Linked DNA regions of Medicago truncatula. The protein of the gene in region 2 interacts with the protein of the main gene of each other region in a pairwise test. Links are inferred from orthologs where the notes say so. Each region holds a gene or a part of one and is shown on either strand. Other genes may lie near its edges.

What was found. The genes of interacting proteins can lie anywhere in the genome.
Region 1: the proteins of protein UNIFOLIATA (region 2) and protein UNUSUAL FLORAL ORGANS interact in binary tests that used the Arabidopsis thaliana proteins (3 or more experiments, as listed by UniProt). The link is inferred for Medicago truncatula from reciprocal best matches to the Arabidopsis thaliana genes LFY and UFO.

The regions. Positions count from the first base shown.
Region 1 is NC_053045.1:46,786,337-46,792,683, reverse strand, and holds protein UNUSUAL FLORAL ORGANS, read left to right. Parts: upstream 1-2,651; 5' UTR 2,652-3,086; coding exon 3,087-4,421; 3' UTR 4,422-4,609; downstream 4,610-6,347. UniProt on the Arabidopsis thaliana protein: Component of SCF(ASK-cullin-F-box) E3 ubiquitin ligase complexes, which may mediate the ubiquitination and subsequent proteasomal degradation of target proteins. Considered as a meristem identity factor required for normal growth of the young floral meristem.
Region 2 is NC_053044.1:48,440,173-48,446,929, reverse strand, and holds protein UNIFOLIATA, read right to left. Parts: upstream 4,385-6,757; 5' UTR 4,015-4,384; coding exon 3,567-4,014; intron 3,197-3,566; coding exon 2,829-3,196; intron 2,324-2,828; coding exon 1,961-2,323; 3' UTR 1,786-1,960; downstream 1-1,785. UniProt on the Arabidopsis thaliana protein: Probable transcription factor that promotes early floral meristem identity in synergy with APETALA1.

The DNA.
Region 1 (6,347 bases), on a different chromosome or scaffold from region 2:
ACACTTTGTTTGGTTGCTAGATTATTCCTTGCTCCACATATCAAATATTTTATTGGTGTGATTTTTTTATCGAATTCACAACAATATTTATAAACAATCGCTTTCCTAAATTCATAGACTTTTTTATCGAGCGGAGAAAATAAATCCATAAAAGATACGTTTATTAGGAGAGGATAAAACTACGAGAGTTTACACATATTTTTTATTTTTTTAAAAATACCCCACAAAAGTAACACCTCAGACCGTGTTAAACTTGGAGAAGATTTATAATTAAATTTGTTGGCGTGTTGAAAAAATACATATTGTAGAAATTTCACATTATCTTAGAATTATAAAGAGTGAGACCAAGACTCTTGTTAGAGTTCGGGGAAGTGTCGATAGCAACAACAAACCAATACTTCAGGAGTATGAGACAAGAAGACATCACATCTCTATCTAAAATCTTAACATATTAGGTATATGTTGCACTTCTCTTATCCATCCAATATTTTTTTAGGCGACGTGAGACAAACAAATCACATTTGAACCCAATAATCTCACCCTAAGTGTGAGTTTCTACCTCCTACACTCATCATGATCCATTTCTGCTTTGCCACTAAGTCGAATCAAAGGTTACAATATCACTTGTTAGGAAGTCTCAAGGAGTGTTGAGAACAACAAATCAATGTATTGGAACTACAAGAGATATCACATTTTCACCTAAAACTTTTGAGACATTAAATATATAATCATCTCATTTTACACATTCAACTTTTTTCTCATGAGACTAAAGAGTCTCACTTGAACTAAACAATCAAATTATATGAATTGTAGATTTAATCATATGTACAACCTTAAATGTACAAACTTAGCGGGTAAGTATAGCGAACACATCAAGTAACAATAGTATAGCCTTTTTAATAAGTGTAATCTAGAGGTAACATTGGTTCTATTCAAGATTTTATGCGCTTTGGCCTATGTGTAGCCATTTTTGCTGCTAGAGTTGTCATCCATATCATATATAGAATGAACTGTAGTGGTACTTCCTGTTTATGGCTTTTTTGTCGCTTTGTGGGAAATGGATTTCACATTTCACCAATGGTGTCATTAATAAATGAGCAATGATATTTGAACAATTATTTGTTAACAACTTCAATGACAATCTCCTTTCTCTCTTCTTATTGATCATAAACAATGGAGAGAAAAAAAAAAAAAAAAGAGAGAGAAAGAATATAATATAAGTACGAGAGAGAAAATTGTATAAAAATTGTTAAAAAATAGTTGTATAAATATCATTTCTTTCGGCAAATAAACCGACTAACTATTTTTACCTTTTTAAAAATAAATAAATCTGACTCCAATATCAGAAAAACTTTCAATATAATCATCTCTCATCAAGCTAAACAATAATAGCCCCAGTTTTATTTTTTTGACGAAGCTAAAATCAACATGATAAGAAAATCTTAGCACAAAAAATACCAAAAAAAAGTTACAAATTACATAGGTCAAGTCAACTGATCCACCACTAACAACAAAAACATAGCAAAGCCAACACCAGAGGCTAGATTAAAACCAAAACTCCAAGATAATTAACATCCACCAAACAATAAAACACTCAAACGAGAAACAACACTAATCCCTAAACAACGTAAGGGACAAGATCACTACCAATTGAGTTCATAATTGAAAGCTTTCACCTAATATTTTAACCAACTTATCTAGAATAAGACAACATCACACTCCTCAAGTCAAAAGTTCACATTGTTCCGAAGTTTTTTTTTTTTTTTCCAAATAGATCAAATAACAATAGATCTCTAGTTATAACTTTAAAGCATTGCATATATAAACATTATTTTTATATATAATTCTTTAGTTTATTCTAATCAATATGATATGATATGCAGGAGAATTTTCTTTAGTATTTTATCATTTTAGTTCAATTTTAATAATTTATGTTTTATTTTCTATTTAGATTCTTGGTCCATTAGGGTTTTTATTTTCCTATTTAAACTTAACAGTTGTACTTTAAGAGTCAACTTTTATTCATTCAACCATATTTTAGAGAATTTTCTCAATTTCTAATGGATTCCGAAACCCTATTTTCACAAGTTTGTCGCTTGCAAATTTGTTTATTTTCAATCTAGGTTTAACGTTTGTTAGCATATGCTTATGACTGTTTCACAATATCAAAATCAATCTCTTACACTTGAATTATATATATATATATATATATATATATCGAATTAACAATTGAATTATTATGTATCCTCCAAAAAAAATTTGAATTATTATGTATAATATTTTTGGCAAAGTTATTATATATAATATAAAGGGCCTATATTTTTCCACTAGCACTAGCACTAGCATTCCCATGTAGCATATAGTTGAGTTGCACTTTGATCAATTGCACATGTCTTTCTCTTCTGCAAACATGTCCTTCCTTCCCAACCTCGGCTTTGACAAAACAACACTGAAATGATAGATGCATTCATCAGAAATAATCACTTCCTCTTTCTTTATTCTCACCTCCTCAACTACCAAAAACAAACCATGAGCAAGAAAGCATTAATAAGGAAATTAAAACTTTTTCTATTATATAAAGAAATAACACAAGGCTCATTTCATTTCTACTTCACTCTTGTTGTCTATTGTTTGTTGTTATTATATATACAGTTGTCCCCACCCAATTCATTGCCACTTTCTAACTCACGTCCTTTGTTCCATTTATGGTTATGCTGCATTCACACCTAAAATCTTCTTCAAAATCTTCCTATATCTACCCCCCCCTTTCTCCAATATCTCCTCCAAATCCCACTGAAAATGAGGAACAGAATCAACCATCTCCTCCCAGGTGATTTTTAGCAATCACCACCAACTATCCTTCCAAAACCTAGCTACCTTTTTCACCCTTTCCCCTCTTAGGTGCTTCCCTAAAAGCGTTCTTTTCCACAAACATTTCACTTCCTTTTCTTTTTCACCAAAAACAACCAACAATCTATAACCTTTCCTTTATCATTAAAGCCAACCCTAGCTATCATATATCTTAAATGTTCCACTATTTCCTCTAATAATAAGAAAGAACCATATACAAATTTATATTTATATTTATGGAAGGTTTTCACCCATCTATGAATATGAGTATGAATATGAATATGAGCATGAGCATGAACCCTTCTTTTTCTTACACTTTCCCTATCACTGCTACTGCTTCTGGTGTTAGCACCAACATAACTACTGCTCCTTACACCACTACTTCTACTACTCCATGGATGAACAGCAGAATATGGAGTAAGCTTCCACAGAGACTACTTGATCGCATCATAGCTTTCCTTCCTCCACCAGCTTTCTTCCGTGCACGTTCTGTCTGCAAGAGATTCTACTCTCTTCTCTTTTCCAACTCTTTCCTTGAATTATACCTTCAAGTTTCACCTCGTTTCCACTGGTTCATCTTCTTCAAACACAAAACCAGATCAAAAACTCACATCTACAAAAACAGTAACAACATCACTGATAGTACTTCCTTTGAAGGCTACCTCTTTGATCCTAATGAAATGACGTGGTACCGTATTTCATTTGCTTTAATCCCTTCTGGTTTCTCACCATCTTCTTCATCCTCAGGTTTAGTCTGTTTTGTTTCTGATGAATCTGGTCCAAAAACAATGCTTTTAAGCAACCCTTTACTTGGTTCTATAGCTCAGTTACCACCAACTTTGCGTCCAAGACTCTTTCCTTCCATTGGCTTAACCATCACTCCATCTTCCATTGATGTTACTGTTGCTGGTGATGACATGATATCACCTTATGCAGTTAAAAACTTAACATCTGAAAGCTTTCACATTGATGCAAGTGGGTTTTATTCCATTTGGGGAACAACCTCTTCATTACCAAGACTCTGTAGTCTTGAATCTGGTAGAATGGTATATTCAAATGGAAAATTTTACTGCATGAATTGCAGTCCTTTTAGTGTTTTAGCTTATGATGTAGCAACAAACGCTTGGTTCAAAATTCAAGCACCTATGAGAAGGTTTTTAAGGTCACCTAACCTTGTTGAATGCAAAGGGAAACTCTTACTTGTTGCCGCTGTTGAAAAGAGTAAGCTGAATGTGCCTAAAAGTTTGAGGGTTTGGTGTTTACAAGGTTGTGGAAGTGTTTGGGTTGAAAGTGAGAGAATGCCACAACAACTTTATGTTCAGTTTGCTGAAATGGAAAATGGGAATGGATTTGAGTGTGTTGGGAATGGTGAGTTTATTGTGATTATGATTAAAGGAAGTGATAAGGGTTTGGTTTATGATATTGGAAGGAAGAGATGGCAGTGGATTCCACCTTGTCCTTATGCTGGTTATGATGGGTTTGAGTTGCATGGTTTTGCTTATGAGCCTAGGTTGGCTACACCTGTTATTGCTTTACTTGATCAATTGGCTATGCCACTTCCACAGTTTTAATTCATGGATGCTTAAAATATTGGAGAATTAATTGGTTGGTTGGTTTATATCAATGTATAATGTATAATTATGATGGTATGATATAAGTATGGTAATATTAATATATATGAATGAATGACTTATAAACCTAGCTAGCTAGTCATGAAAAGTGCATCTTCAGTGTAATACTCCGTTAACTTGTAGTAGTAATGATCCGTTTAATAACTTAAATTGTTCCTCTTTTGTGGTTTGGAATTTAAATGGAATCATAATTGTAGTCCCCATTTGCAGTTATCTATCTCCATATATATATATATATATATATATATATATATATATATATATATATTTGCACTGTAGGTTGTAGGCGTAGTAATTTACACTCAATCAGATTTGAGAAAAATAAGATGATTGTATACGGAAATGGATTGCTTTGGACATTCTAGATCTAACACCTTATTAACTACCGGTAACATTTTTATTGAATAAAACCCATGTCACTTTTACACTTTAAAAATGGATCCCACATAAGTTTTATGTGAGTTTCATTCAATAAAAAAATGAGTACTTAAAATAAGGTTAAAATGCACTTTTGGCTCCAAAGTTTCTAAAAGTTGAAATTTTAACCTACTATTTTGGAAATAGCACTTTTGGCCCCCTAAGTTTTAGCTCCTTTGCAAAACCATGATCCCCTTGATTTTGACTCGGTGAAAGCTGACATGTTGCGTTTTTTTTTTTGTGCCACGCTCGATATTGTTAAAATTTAAATTTTGCCAACACTTATTATTAGAGTTAAAATTAATAAAAACCCATAAAAGGTGAGATTTCTCACGTGCCCGTTCCATTCCATATTAAAAACCGTAGAAACCAAAATCCAACTGGGAATTAGGGTTAAGTCCAAACTTTAAATCTCAATCGGAAGACTTTCCTACATTGCGGCACTGAGCAGCATCTTCGAATCGGAAGAATTCGCAACCCTTACCTTCGCTTATGTCTTCTTCGCATCTTTGACTTTCGCATCAAATTTCTTCGCAACTCTGACCTTCGTGTTTGCTTTTGTTTTTCCCTTTGGAGACTGTTTCGTCATCTTCTTCAATTAACCTTGCTGGTTCGATAAAGATGAGAGTGAAATTTGGAGTTTGGACTTAACCCTAATTCCCAATTGGATTTTGGTTTCTACGGTTTCTAATATGGAATGGAAGGGTCATGTGAGAAATCTCACCTTTTATGGGTTTTTGTTTTAATTTTAATTCTTTCTTTTTTTTTGACAAAATTTTAATTTTAATAATATCCAACATGACACAAAAAAAAAAAACACGACATGTTAACTTTGACCAAGTCAAAATCAAGGGGGCCATGGTTTTGCAAAGGAGCTATAACTTGGAGGGCCAAAAGTGTTATTTTCGAAATAAGGGAATCAAAATTGCAACTTTTGAAAATTTAAGGGATCAAAAGTACATTTTAACCTTCAAATAAAATGTTTTCTTTCTCGTGTATACCCATGAGATAGTAAAATATGATCTATAACCATTCAAACTAGTTTATAATTAGAACCATTCAAACTATTTAAATTTCTCATGTATTTCTCTCTCTTAGTTAACGGTGAGATCACAACTCTACTTGGACTACAATTGATAATTTATTAACTATCACACTTCTTAAGTTTAAAGGAGATACTTTTATTTTTTTTTCAACAAACTTATACTCAATTTTTTCTTCGAATAAACTACTCAACATAGTATTTCTCAAAGAATATTTACGACCCAGGGAGGTGGACTTTTTTGAATTACATGTTAAGTAGGTTTGACTTTGGTACTAAGTTGCGGACCTAGATTTGTGCATCTGTTTTCTTCAAGAGCCTGTATGTCTTGGTGAATATGAGCTCTACCCATGAGATTAATATCTAAAGGGGTCTCAAATAAGGAGACAAGTTAGCTCCATTCCTTT
Region 2 (6,757 bases):
AAGGTGATTATTAATTAATTAATAGTGAATTTTATTTTAAAAATTGTCATTATAATCAAATAAGCAATTGTTTGACGAATTAAAAAACAAAGATTTTGATTGAATTATTATTAAACTTCTAATATTTAGATTGTAAAGTTCAGTGCTGTAAAGTTCATAAATTTTTTCTTTTGCCATGATGAACTCATAAGTTTAATTTGGTGCAACAAATTAACATGATTGTGTAGTGTGCAAAAACAAACCAATTGAACAAGTTATGTGTATCCAAAGTAAATTAGCACAGCCATGGAACTGTGACAAGTTACATGCGGCAAAATAATTGTAAAGAGAATATTTATTTACACATTGTGAAAACAGATTACTGCGTGTCGCAGATTTTCAAATTAGCAAAGTAGGAATATGCAAGTGGAGATAAAATTATGATGCATGTACACGAGGTTACGCGGAAGAGAAGATGACACAAACAAGAAAGGAGAAAGAACACAACTAGCTAGGTAATGGTGGTGAGTGATATTAAAAGAAGAGGGTATGTAAGTCATTTTAAAATTTAATGGAGTGGTTCCATCCCATACCTCTCGATTTGGGGGGAATGAAAATTGAGAGAAATAATGGAATAGGATGGAATACATCCCACCATGTTCAATTCCATTCCATCTTTATTTTCAAATCCAAGCAATGGAATGGTACATTCTTTAGGTGAAATTTAGAATGGGAAAGGCTAATTTTTCCCACCATGGGAAAGTTAGTTTTTAACCATTAGATCAAACCAAGAACACATCCTTACCATACTCCCTCATCACTAGATTTTTTAATTTTATTATTTTAAAACTATTTTTTAAAAACAAAAAAAATATTTCAAAATTAAAATAAACATTTAAAAATAAAAAATAAACTTAATTTTGGAAATTAATTTTCCAATTTTTTTTTTGAGCAAGTTTTTTTCAAAAAACTTAATTAAATCTTCGAAAATCATAATTAAAATTTTTGAAAACAAGTTTATTTCAAAAAAATTATTTATATTTTTTAAAATTTTGGAAAATTAATTTCCATATTTTTAAATTAATTTTTTATTTTTATATGTTTATTTTAATTTCGAAATATATTTTTTGTTTTTAAAAAATGGTTTTAAAATAATAAAATTACAAAATCTAGTGATGAGGGAGTATGGTAAGGATGTGTTCTTGATTTGATCTAATGGTTAAAAACTAACTTTCCCATAGTGGGAAAAATTAGCCTTTCCCATGCTAAACTTCACTCATTCTTTAATCTCATTCCATACCATTCCATCCCATACCACCAATCCAAACATAGTCTTAAACTTCTGTTTATATATTATTGAGAAGAGTTGTGTTATTTGAACATCCATATATACCAAAATTTTACAAAGGAAATGAGGTAGTGGCACAAAAACCAAATCAATAGAGAGAGAAAGTAAAAAGATAATGTGAATGAGAGAAAAAGTTGTCAAAAAAATTGTAAAAAAATGGTTGTTAAAATATCATTTCTCTATTGAGAATTACTATTTCTCTCCAATTTTTATTAAGTTTTTACCTTTGTGCTTATTTGTATTAACATCAAAAAATTAATTATATTTTTTTAATATGCTAGAAATTAGGGTTATGACAAAGTTCATCTAGTTAATATTTACATGTTGTAATTGCGTGAAAGCTTAAAAAAATTACCGCAGAGAATCAATTTGTAACCCAAGCAAGCAAATTATTTATGAGGTGCATAAAGAAACCTTATATTAATTTTTTCCTTCAATAATAACTAAGAAAAGTCCTCTAGCTAAAATGAGATTACTACATTCCAGTCGATATATATGAGGAAGGTTCTACATTTCCACTTGTACTACACAAATAATAATCCTAGAAATAACACATACATCGATGATCCATCCATTCCTGATCATCAAAGTACAGAAAGATGCATGCGAGCGTGATAGAATTTGAAGTCTAACTTAAAAAGGAAGGTGAGCAGTTCCAACAGAGACGGAGCTTGAAGCAGCAGCACTGTTCCTCTCAGCATGACAAAGCTGACGAAGTTTTGTTGGCACATACCATATTGAAAGACGAGGATGTGCGTTGAATATTGCATCAATATCCCATCCTTGACGTGCAGCTATTGCTACAAGTGGCTTGTAACATGCTTGTCTCCATGCACCAACATTCTCTCCTCTTTCCTTAAACCCTCTTCTAAGCTCATTTGATACCTCTTCATCTAAACAATGCAATGCATAACAGTGCACGTAGTGTCTCATTTTTGGCTTGTTTATGTAGCTTGCTCCAGCTTTCTTTGCATACCTAAATACCTGATTTGTCACCTACACTCACTCAAAGTTATTAATCATGTATCATTTATTTATTTATTATAAGTAGACCCCATATACACAACGTAGTATCAAAATTTCATGGATATGTATTTTGATTATGAGGGTAAGCTAAGATCCGGATAATAAAATGCATGCATTATTTTGTTATGGTTCTAGTTTGTGACCGGAAAATAAATAAATGAATAAATACAAACAAAGTGTACGGAACGGAGATATATGATCATATGAAAATCCCAGTTGAATGGGAAGTTGTGATGGGACCCATTAGGAGAGTCCCTGAGTCGTCACGTGTTCGGATGAACGTGTCACGGCAAGAAAGTACTGTTCAAACGGTTCGTGAAGGAACTATACACTACTACACAACACAGGAATCTGACTGGTTTCAAGTCAGAGTCAGATTCAGAAGAAGATAGATCCACATAGATATGACGAGAAAGTACAACAAATTCAATTAAAATATATATGAAAAATGTTGTTCGGGCATGGTATAGTATACCTTGGTAGGGCATTTCTCACCGCGTTCCTTAGCAATTGCTTGAACCTGAATCAAGAACTCACGACATTGTTCATAGAGATGAAAAAGATAATCTAGACCGTTCTTTTTGCCACGTGCAACTTCCCCAGGCTCTGTCACAATGAATGGATGTTCTCTTTGTCTCTCACCGCCACCACTGATGTTATCTTCTTCCTCCTCGTCTCCTTCTTCATTCTCACCATGATCACCATTTCCCTTCATCTTCATCCTTCTCCTCCTTATTTGCTGCCTCTTTCTCCTCTCCTCCACCACAGCTACCTCCCAAGTACTCCCTCCTCCGCTTCCCACCGCCTCCTTCTCTCGCTGCACCACCGGCTCCTCCGACAAACCTAAGCATATTAATTATATATAGTTGACATTTGAGAATTGAATATTCTATAAGGCTGTCATGTCACAAATTATTTGTGATTAGTTACTACTTGATTATATTTGTTACCACAGGATCAATGTATAAGTGATCATGCATTCAATGTAATTATCAATTTCATAACGTCAATTCTAAAATAATTTTTTCTATCATTGTACCGTTTTTTCAACATAATACATCTTTTAATCGTTCATTTTCATATACAAAGGAAAAAAAAGTGAGGTTCATATTATAAATTTGTAATATCATAGTTGACTTTAATAATATATTAGAACAGTATTTTAATATAACAGTAGAATAATTTGAGTCAATTATTATAAATGACTGTGCACCTTCTTGAGAGAGAGCATCGAGAGCGTTGGTGGTATCGCCGGAAAGAAGACCCCGGCGTTTAATTTCCTCTTCATCAAGGCGTCTCCGTTCAGCTCTAATGGCAGCTTTGATGCCGTAACGCTCTCCAACAAGAAGATCCCAACGAAAAATCTGGGAAAGGCTGTTCATCATGTCATCAAGCTCATCATCCTTCATGTCCACCAGCGTGCTCACTGTAAAACCAAGCTCTGCTATCTTCGCCGCCGTGTAGTATCTGATTCCATAAGCTTGGAAAAGTTCCTCCAAACCTCCAAGTTCTCTTGGTAATCTCGCTGGATAATAAGGTGATGGAGCAGTTGATGGGGTGACTGCGTAGTCGAGAAGTTGGGGACGGAGAGGTGGAGCTGTTGGTAGGACGGTACGTGGGTCCCACTTGAATAGGCTGGCGGTGAATGCGTCGGGATCCATGGTAAGCAATGAAACTGTTTTAACTTCTTTGTGTATGTTTGTTAGGTTTTGGAAAATTATGAGAAGTGGAAGATTTATGGTACTGTTTAGGTGGAGATATAGAAAACGTAAAGGTGGTGAGGGTGTGGTTAAATTTACTGTGGAGAAAGAAAGATAACGTGATTTTCCAAAACTACCCTTTGTTTGACATGGTTTTTCCAAAACTATAAGGAAATAGTGTTATTCCCAAGACTGGTTAGGGCTTGTTGGAGACTTCCTTTTGTTGTGTGTGAGACTAAGAACTGTATTTGATTTGAAACTGGAATGCCTCAAAACAAACCGAACTAATTTAACTGGCTATAGATAGACGTGGTTACCCATAATAATATCCGACCAGATGGGGTCAGTTGTGTTGTGTTGTGTGTATATGGTTTGACCTCTGATTTGACTTGACTGTTATTTTTTTTTTTGTGCTTGCTCTTATGTGTCATATGCATGCTTGTGTGTTGTACAAAGTATGAATTGATGCTTTGGGTTGTCGTAAAAGCCTATATATATTAGCCTACTTAAACAACAACAACAACAAATTAATTAAATGAAGAATACTAGGGTTTTTTAGGGTTATTTAGTTCAAATGTTCAATCATTATGATTATATTTAGGGTAGGGCGGCAAATAATAAGGAAAAGTTGGTAAGGTCCTGGTCAGTGAAAGGCATGCATGTAAGTTTGTAACCCGAAAAACAACAAGCTACTTTTCCTTATTGCCTATTATTATGATTTAATGTAACTAGTGATCAATCCAAACAATTAAAGGTAAATTATTAAATTTGATTATTAATTATTTTTGGTGAGAATTACAATGAAGAAAGGTAGATGGCAGAGGATTCACGAGTGATTCTTGTGTCTGATACTGTAGTGGTGAGTTACGGAATCAGAGAAAATCTCACTGAGGTTTTTAGCTGTTTGTAATACAGAAGAGAGACTAGCTCGTTAAGGAAACAGACAAAAAAAGGACGTAAAAACAGTAAAAACATTAATGGGGAAACAATGATAGTAAAGAATGGGGTTACTATTTACTATTTCATGAGTGACGAGATGTGAAGCAGAAGCAGTGATGCAGGGATCAAAGTACGTACAGCTGCAAGGGTTGCAGGTTGTTCCAGTTGGTCTTAAAGCAAACACTGTAAAGTTGAAAAAAAAAGGCTGATTAATTCATGATGTGTGTGTACTTTCGAAGACCATTGCTTCCAATTTCCAACCCATGCCAACACATGAGCTACCATAAACCATTAATAGAGGTGAAGTGAGGTGGAGGGTGCATGGTGTCACCTCGCTGGTTACCATATATGAAGCACAAGATACAAACAATGACACGTCGATATTGTTAATAACTTGATTTTTTTTTATAATTCAATGGAATTATATGTGTCAATGTCAGATACAATGGAGTGTTTATAGTGTAGTTTAGATTAGGTTTAGAAGAACAATCTCATCCAACATTATACTTGGTTTGATTCAATCCAATTATACGTATCTCAATGATTTGAGGAAGTAGGCATAGAAGAGCGAGTGTCAAAAACTACTTGATCCTCAATGGAAGACTTATTGATTAAAGATGAATGATATTTTGACAATCAATTTTAAATGATTTTGGGTAACAACATTTTTCCTCCCTTCTAATTGGACAATAACAATATATATATATATATATAGAGAGAGAGAGAGAGAGAGAGATGAAGAGAGAGAATAAAGTATCAAAGAGAGTTGTCACCAATGATCATATATGTGTCAATTGTGTGGATATGTCAAGCTTTTGATTGCTGTCGGTTAATTTCAATAAGTATCCTTCTCACTCTTTCTATCTCTCTCCAACTTGCATTTTTCTAAGCAAAGTAAATCAAGGGCAAGAAACAGAAATTCAACTGTTCTTAGACCATGTCCAATGGTGTTGAGTTGAAAGCAACCTTCAACAAGTGGAAGTGCTCCAATGGTATGTTGAATGATGATGTGGAGGAGAGAGATGTTGAATGCATTCAACATGTTGAATAGGAGAATGGTGGGCCAAGTTGAAGATGATGTGGCGCAAAACAAGTGGTTTGTAGGGAGAGTGCACTACACACGCCTGACAGGTGCGCTGGTCTTTCTCCAAAAATAAATTGTTAAGTGTTTTTTTAATTTAATTATAATCGATAATTGTAATTATGTAATTATAAAAACAAAATATAAAATTAAATAAGAAATAAAAAGTGGTGGAGTAAAGTGTTGAATGAAAAACCATTGCTGAGGGTAAAAGTTGAATGAATGTTAAATAAGAGAGATGATTGTTGGGAATTGAAAAAGTGGGTGTTGAATGAAAAAACTATTGTACATGGTTTAGATAAAACTATTGTACATGGTTTAGATGTGTGATTCTACTCAATTATGATCCATTCAGTGGCGGAGCCAGGAATATAGTAAAGCCCGGGCAAAAAAAAATTTGCAACACATTTATAGGGCGTACATAAGAAATTGCAAGCAAATAATAAAAAATGTAAAGAAATTGCCCAATTTATAAGGGGTTTATATAAGAAATTCATAGGGATTTACACAAGAAATTGCAAAAAATTTGGCCCGGAGCCCGAGCGAGTACCCGGGGTCGCCGGGCCTTAGAACCGCCCCTAGATCCATTATTTCTACCTCATGTTTGGTACACCATTTTTGAGATCTTGTCTATTGTAATTCTTATGTGATCCCTACTCTCTAGCTCGGATTTTAACCTTAAAA